Arabidopsis thaliana: one gene and its partner. The main gene of each other region encodes a partner of the protein of the gene in region 2 in a complex. Each region holds a gene or a part of one and is shown on either strand. Other genes may lie near its edges.

Region 1 (3,755 bases), on a different chromosome or scaffold from region 2:
TGGTTAGACATATAGTTTAACTAACCCAACACAGCGTCTTTCATCAATCTTATGCTAGGAAACAGGAGACCATTAGTTTATCTTAAAACACCTTCTTTTTGTGTGTCTAAAGTCTTTAAGATAATATTTTAAGACTCAATTTTAGTCAAGATCGCAAATCATTGATAAGAAAGGATCTAAGACTTCAACCAACGAATGAATTTAGTTTAACTCAATTATTCAGATTCAACTGCATCGATCAGCATATGAAGTATGTAGAGATGTCAAAACCCAATTTACTAACGGATTAAAAAGCCCACAGGTTTTCCTTTTGAACTTCAGTGAAAACTTTGGTAGCTTAGTTAAGAAGCAGAAGACTCCAGCTGAGAGGAAATGGGCCTAAAATAGCCCACACATTCGACTGTCTTCAAATGGGCTTGAGACGGCCTGATATTGGTTTGGCTTGATATTGGTAAAACCTCTGATTGAGCTGGAGTATTCTGTTTCTGTTCAATATTGGTCACACAAATTCAGTAGTAGTATACAATTGGGCATGATCACAGAATCTTCAACTTCAAGTGCCAAAAATTTTCTTTTATGTTCTCAAGCAAAACATACTCCTACGCCATGGCCACAGTTCAAGAATCTGCTCACTATTAGTACGCCACTTCGTCGTCAGAAGACAAATGTTTTGCCTGATAACTTCAGCAGACACTTACATAGACCATGATCATCATGTTCAACATCTTATAAATCTATGTAAAAATGATCTCAATCAACTAATCAACACACCACTTACACATCAACAACAACTACCTACACTAGTCATTAATCTCATGCCATAACTTTCCAAGATTATCACAAAATGTGGCAAAAGCCACAACCTTTCTTTCATTTGCAATTACCATTTCATAGGCATTGTTGCTATGTTTCTCTCACCAGTGTATATCTATCTATTATCCATCACAAATTCATGCCAAACTCACAAGCTAAAGATTTGTCCTTGAGATTCGCTACTACTTGTATCATTGCTCTGAGATCCTAGTCTCACTCTCAATGAAACCAAATAGATCTTAAAGAAAGCATAACCAATAGCATTCAGAAGAAAATTCACATACAATTTTTAACAGCCTAAGCAGTATCTCGACTTCAATTGAAAAGACAACAAATTCAAAGACATAAGCTTTACCAGAAAAGACTCATCATTTCTTCTTCCCTTTGGGACCTTTACTTTTCTTAGTAGGCATAATGATTTCTCCTTTAAGCACAGGAATCTCCATAATCTCAGAAAGCCCAGCGAACCTCTTACGAAACTTCTCAACTTGATCAGCATCAACCATCAAAGCCGAACGATTCCCGAGGTAAAACGGATGGTTACCTGACCATACATCAACCACATACTCTTTCTTTGTTCCTCCTGTAGTCATCACCAGCTCTCCATTGCAGTAAACCTTTGCGTCTTCGTGGAATTCAGGATGCAATTCCTTCTTACGACACGTTATCTGAACCACCGTATTGCTGCTTCTTCTCACCGATTGTTTTCCTCCTTTCACTGCCGCCATCACCGGCTAATTTTGAAAAAAAAACACAAACAAATTTAGTGATTTTGGGGAAGGAGGAGAAATAGACGAAGAATGAGAAATCGATTTCGAGCTTACCTTTCTTAATTGCAGAGAAGGAACACATGGGCTAATCTGAAGAAACGAGTTCGGGAGAGAAACCGCCATTTTTGTCTTCAGGAGCTATCTTCTTCTTTTTTCCTGGTGATAGAGAAGAAACGAAGTAACGATTGATGGATAAGAGAATGAGGATGATGAAGTGTATTGGAGTTACGTTTATAACCCTAAATACTTTGAAGATATGTAAGGGTAATATGGTAATTTACATAGAGACTTCCTTTTGTTCTGTTGATACACTCTTCGTCAATCTAACGCTTCTTCATTTTTCTCGAGAGAAGCAAAACTACATATATATATACGCACATACGTACACAGTTCGAAGGTTTTAGCTGCGAGTATGAGGAAGGAACTGTGTAGAAACTTTCAGCGTGGCAGGTAAATACTCTTTTCATCATCATCATCTTCTTCTTCATCTGTTCTAGTTTTTGTTTTGATTCAATTTGTTGTTTTATAAGAGTTTTTGAAGTTTGTTTCGATTGCTGAAGTTTAGGTTTCGTGTTCTATATTCTGGGGTTTAATTTGAAATCAATCGATGTGCGAAGGTGGTAATGTGTTAGAAAACGATGTCTATTGAGCTGAAATCTAAATGAATCATACAGTTTATTGACTTTGATAGATTCTAATCTTCGTTTCCGCCATTAATGAGGGTTGATTTGCTTCGGAAGTTATGATTAGTGATAGTAGAAGCTTAGAGACGTAATTATTGGACTCATCGTCCTTTGTGCTGTTTTTGCAGTTGTAGGTATGGGGAAAACTGTAGATTTCTTCATCCACAACAAGCTAAGCCAAATAATCCCTTTGGCTTTGGTACACAAAACCAACAACAACAACAGCAGCAGCAGCAACAAAATAGTTCGAACCCTTTTGGATTTGGTGTACAAAGTGGTGGTTCCAGCAGACCGAATCAGTTCCAGGTCAATTTGTTTTTTTCCTCTTTTAAGATGCAAGTATTGCTTTGATAGAATGCAAGTTATCGTTCGGCTTTGGATGAGAAAAATGGTGCATCTTCTTTAAGAAACGAAAGCATTTTGCCTGTTGAATGAATGGTGACATGATGATGCTTTTGCAAATCAGAATACTTGGTCACGAACGGCTTCTACACCTACTGGTGGTGGTGCTGCTGCTTCTACACAGCAGACTGGTAAACAGACGCAGCCGGCAGATCATAAGTGAGTGTATATATGTTTACATATGCTTGTTCTATCAATTATCATCCTTTTAGCCGTTTGTTTCTTTGGAAATTTACTGTTTCTCTCTTGGTTACTATACAAAGATGCACAGATCCTGCTGCGTGTAAGCGGGTAATGCAAGACGATTTTAAGAATGAGAGACCCATGTGGAAGCTCACATGCTACGGCCACTGGAAATAGTATGTATTACTTCATTTGGTTTAGCATCCTTGATCTTTATCCATTCTTTATAAACGTGTCTGATTTTTTCTATCTTTTTTTTCTTCTAGTTTTCCATGTGATGTTACCGGTGATATCAGCTATGAAGAACTACGTGCAGTGGCATATGAAGAAGCTAAACGAGGAATACCTCTACAGTCGATTGTGAGATTAACCTTTCTTGTGTTTGTTATACTTTACACTGGTTTTCATTTCATACTGATAAGACATAAGTTGATTTCCTCTTTTCCTGGCTTATTATGGTGCATTATATAGGTTGAAAGGGAGAGGAATCTGCAAAATTCCAAAATAGCCGAGTTTGAAAACTTTCTACGGAATCCATACAAAGGCTCTGTTACCGCCAATCAAAGCCCGTTTGCTGCAACCACTCCTAGTATCTTCCCTCAGTCCAGTCAGATCAATTCCCCTTCTCCAGCATTCTCTGGCTTTAATCAACAAACTGCATTCTCCAATACCAATGCGGGTGGACTCAGGTATCAACTTTTGTGGGATTTCTCCAATTTTCATATCCCAAAAAGTTTGTGTTGCCTTCAAACTAACTCTCGGTTTCCATTTTTCCTCGACATAGTTCATCTGGACCTCCGAATGCCTTTGCAAGCTTCAATCAACAAACTACATTCCCCAATACCAATGCTGGTGGAGTCAGGTACTAACTTTCTCCATATTCCATATTCAAACAAGTTTGTGT
Region 2 (3,755 bases):
GTTTATCGGTCTTGTTACAGCAAAGGAGGACTGGAATCTTCTTCTTGACAACATTCGCATTGGTCAGAATCTCGTATAGGTACCTATCACCATAAAAAACCATGGCAATGCCTCATTTTCAACATTGAGATGCAAACATATGCAAACATGTCTCTTATCTGTGTCTTACAATGCGTGTGTGTGGAAGAGAGAGGGTGTTTGAAATTACTCTGAAGCTGCACGACAGTTTGGGAGGAACTCCAAGGCATCCACTACGAACACAATGGCAGCTGCTTGGGGCAAGAATTCTTCTAGCTTGGGTCGAAGCCGAGAGTGCCCAGGAACATCAACAAGATGAACAGGCTTGATTTTTCCTTTCTGTCACAAAGAGCAAGCACGGGACATGGTTTAGTAATATGTTATTCCATCCATCACAATCAACTGCACGTGTTGTTTACAACAGAACACAGTAAGATTCTTTACCTTAGTATTTTCACTGTGAAGAACAAAAGTGCCTTCATTTGGTTCCATTGATGTTACAGTGCCCTGATGCGACGATCCATCTCGGAGCTGCCAATCAAACAATTATCGTGTTATAACTCTCCAACAATGACCTAGTCACTCACACTGACTCACAATAGTGACACATTACAAAAAAAAAGTACATTTGAAGGAAAGTCATAAACAATATTCATATGAAAAAGGTAACGTCAAGCCAAAACACTCACTTGGTAAAAGAGCACAGTCTTTCCACTTCCGGTCAGCCCAGAAAGGAGTACAGTGTTGGATTTGGTACGTCTGACCAGGCGAACTGCATACCCCAGCAAGAACAACAAGTTTAGCAACAAAAGATCAAAAGTTTGTTTATGTATAATCAAAGAAAAATCATGAATAAACCTCAGAAATTGCAATAATAGTTCTAATTCCAATACACAAAATACTCTGGCTTAATCACAAGTCTAAAATGGTACCATGAGAACTATAACCTCTGCAGTTGTAAACAATAGCAGGCAGAAGAAAAGTAATTGAAGACATTTAGAAGAAGAACAGGCTATATGTCCTTATCAATGGCAAACAAGATACTACCAGGGGGAGATCTTACATAAATAAAGCAATTCTACTAGGAAAGGATTAAGAAACAACAAAGTGGTGTCTAATACATACTGGATAGGAAGAGCAAGATGGTTGTAAACAACAAAACACCAATGGCGGCATACAGCTGATTCGGTGGTATCTTCTGAAGATATTCAATTCCTTGATGCGACCACTGCTCAGCCAGAATTTTCAGATCTTCCAAGTTCTCCATTACTCTCTCAAGTTTCACTTCTTCTGCCAAGCTGTTCAAAACCTGCATCCAGAGATGTAATTCATTCCTCTTAAGACATAAAAATAACCTAGAGTTAACTAGAAAACTCTCTTCTCCTACACAAACAACATGCATGGGAATAATTTAAAACTGCTTCCTGAAAACAAAAATTGAAATCGGAACTCTCTAATATTTGCAAACATTATATCAATACTGGTTCTCACATTATCATGTTCATCCTTGTGATAAACCCAGTACAGTGACAATAATCATCTTGTGAACAAGGAACACAATTTGTTTATCCCAATTTAAAACCAGTTTTACCAGATCAATACAACCCGTAGACCCATACACGATCATCCCAAGTTATGAAAAGATAAATGCTAATCCTACATTGATGCGCTGTTTCAACGAGATGTAAAAAAATACAAACAGATTCCTCTAAAATTCCAGATAATGAATATAGACAAACAAGAGCTAAAATTTACCCAAGAGTAAATGAATCCATTTGGTGGAAGAGATAGAAACGCACCGATGGGAGAGGAGGCGGAAGACGAATACAACGACGGTGGAAGCGGAGAAGAACACGGCGACGATGATTTAGGGTTCAGATTTAATTTTATATATTAAAACCAGTTAGTGCTTCTTCATTTCAATTTGTTTCGAAGATAGTTAATGGGCCGAATAAAAGCCCATTAAACGTCAATACGAAGTCGTTTCAACTGTATCTGCTTCATCGCTTCTTTTCTCCCTTCTCTTCCCGCCGTGAATCTGGTGTCTGTGTCTGCATCTCCTTCCGACGAAAACAGATACACTCGAGTGAAGAAAGTATGAAATTTAACTTTAACGAGACAGAGGATGCACCAGATTCACGACGATCTCCGACGCCCAAAGAGCCGGTTAGGTGGGTTCCTCTCCAGAGCCACCCGGTTTTCGCTTCTCTTCCTTCCTCCCAAGATGAACCCGCCGTGTCGCAGCTGTTTCCGAGAAATTTCATGGCTTGGGACGGAGACTCGCGCGTATACTACTGGGATTCGAGACGATATCTCCTTCACCGATTATCTCTGCGCTTGGGTGAACCTGAACCATCCTCCGTCCTCGCCGCAGTCCCGTCCAAGGTCATTTACTCTCTCTCTCTCTCTCTCTCTCTCTCTTTCTGTTTTCACCGCTAAGTCGGCCAAAATGAGTATTGAAAAGAAGATTTATCGAAAGCTCTTTTTTAGTGCTGACATTTTACTGACTTTGAGAAATTAGGTTTAGGAAGAGTTTGAGAAATTAGATTTCTTACTGATGGATGATAATAGGAAGATCTTTTCTACTTGCTATGTACTACTGTCAAAAACCTTTAGTTTTCCTCTGTTGTCTTTGCTACATAAGATAAATTATAGGTGATTGATTCATCATGTAGTGATTGACTAAGCTTTACTAATAAATGATATTATAGGTGATGCAACCAGACCTTCAGGTGACATTTTCTGTTAGCAAAATCTCCATCAATAAGTCTGGATCAGCTGTACTTCTTGCCGGCTCAGATGGGATATGTGTGATGTACCTATTTGGACGTGCTTCTGTGATAGAAGACAATGTCATTTGCAGGTAGTGATTAACGTTACCCTAATAAGATGCATTTATATTCATTGTTATCTTGATTATGATGTTATCTTGCTTAAATTAATGGCCTTCTGCTTATACGTTATCACTTCATAATCTATGTGTTGCAGGGTAGTTTCTATTGGTTCAGAAATCTATACTAGTAGTGACAGTGCCATAACCTTGCTACAAGCATCGTGGCACCCTGATAGTGACACCCATTTGGGAATTCTATCCTCGGATGCAGTTTTCAGGTAACAATCTTTTCGGCTGATAGTGAAGGTGGATGTACATGTCAATATATTGATCAATATCATTATGGAAAGATGTTAGAGAAATTGTAGAAAAAATCAGTTCCTAAGGTTGTAGATTGTTAGTTTCTGCCATGCAATGACTTACTATGTTACCATCTGGTCCAGTCTCTCATTATAAAGAATCAAATCGTTTTATTTAATCCTGATTTAAGAGCTTTTTAGCTTACTAAAAGATATTTGTATGCTAGGCTTTTCGATTTGTCTTCAGATACTGAGCTACCAGAGCAAGAATATTATCTGCAGCCCGGTGAGCCAGGAAGATCTAGAACAGCTTCATCAATTTATCCTGCTGATTTCAGTTTTGGAGGAGATCATCTGTGGGATAGATTTACTGTAAGTTCAGTACAAATTCTTGCTCCACTTGTTTGATAACTGACAGTGATTTTGTTTAGTTGTCTTGTCAAATAGAGCCTTGAGGATTACATGTTTAGGTCTTGACCTAATCTTTCAATTGGTGCAGGTCTTTATATTATTCACTGATGGTTCAATTTATATCTTATGCCCCGTTGTGCCATTTGGAAGGTAGGCAGATGATGGTTCTTTCTCCTTTTCATTTCTCTCTGGCA

Evidence for each region.
Region 1: MOS7 (region 2) and AT1G75340 share a complex: the UniProt entries of both Arabidopsis thaliana proteins name them as parts of the nuclear pore complex.

The regions. Positions count from the first base shown.
Region 1 is NC_003070.9:28,270,114-28,273,868, reverse strand, and holds the start of AT1G75340 (Zinc finger C-x8-C-x5-C-x3-H type family protein), read left to right. Parts: upstream 1-1,787; 5' UTR 1,788-1,995; coding exon 1,996-2,033; intron 2,034-2,143; coding exon of another isoform or gene 2,144-2,203; intron 2,204-2,394; coding exon 2,395-2,572; intron 2,573-2,732; coding exon 2,733-2,827; intron 2,828-2,931; coding exon 2,932-3,027; intron 3,028-3,117; coding exon 3,118-3,211; intron 3,212-3,322; coding exon 3,323-3,540; intron 3,541-3,635; coding exon 3,636-3,713; intron 3,714-3,755. Other genes in the region: emb2184 (Ribosomal protein L31), read right to left, coding at 1,182-1,547, 1,638-1,706.
Region 2 is NC_003076.8:1,696,250-1,700,004, forward strand, and holds the start of MOS7 (nuclear pore complex protein-like protein), read left to right. Parts: upstream 1-2,020; 5' UTR 2,021-2,115; coding exon 2,116-2,403; intron 2,404-2,729; coding exon 2,730-2,881; intron 2,882-3,006; coding exon 3,007-3,129; intron 3,130-3,377; coding exon 3,378-3,522; intron 3,523-3,649; coding exon 3,650-3,711; intron 3,712-3,755. Other genes in the region: AT5G05670 (signal recognition particle binding protein), read right to left, coding at 1-83, 209-357, 463-549, 708-790, 1,144-1,285. UniProt on the Arabidopsis thaliana protein: Involved in the regulation of exportin-mediated nuclear protein export. Required for resistance mediated by multiple R proteins and for the appropriate nuclear accumulation of SNC1 and of the downstream defense signaling components EDS1 and NPR1.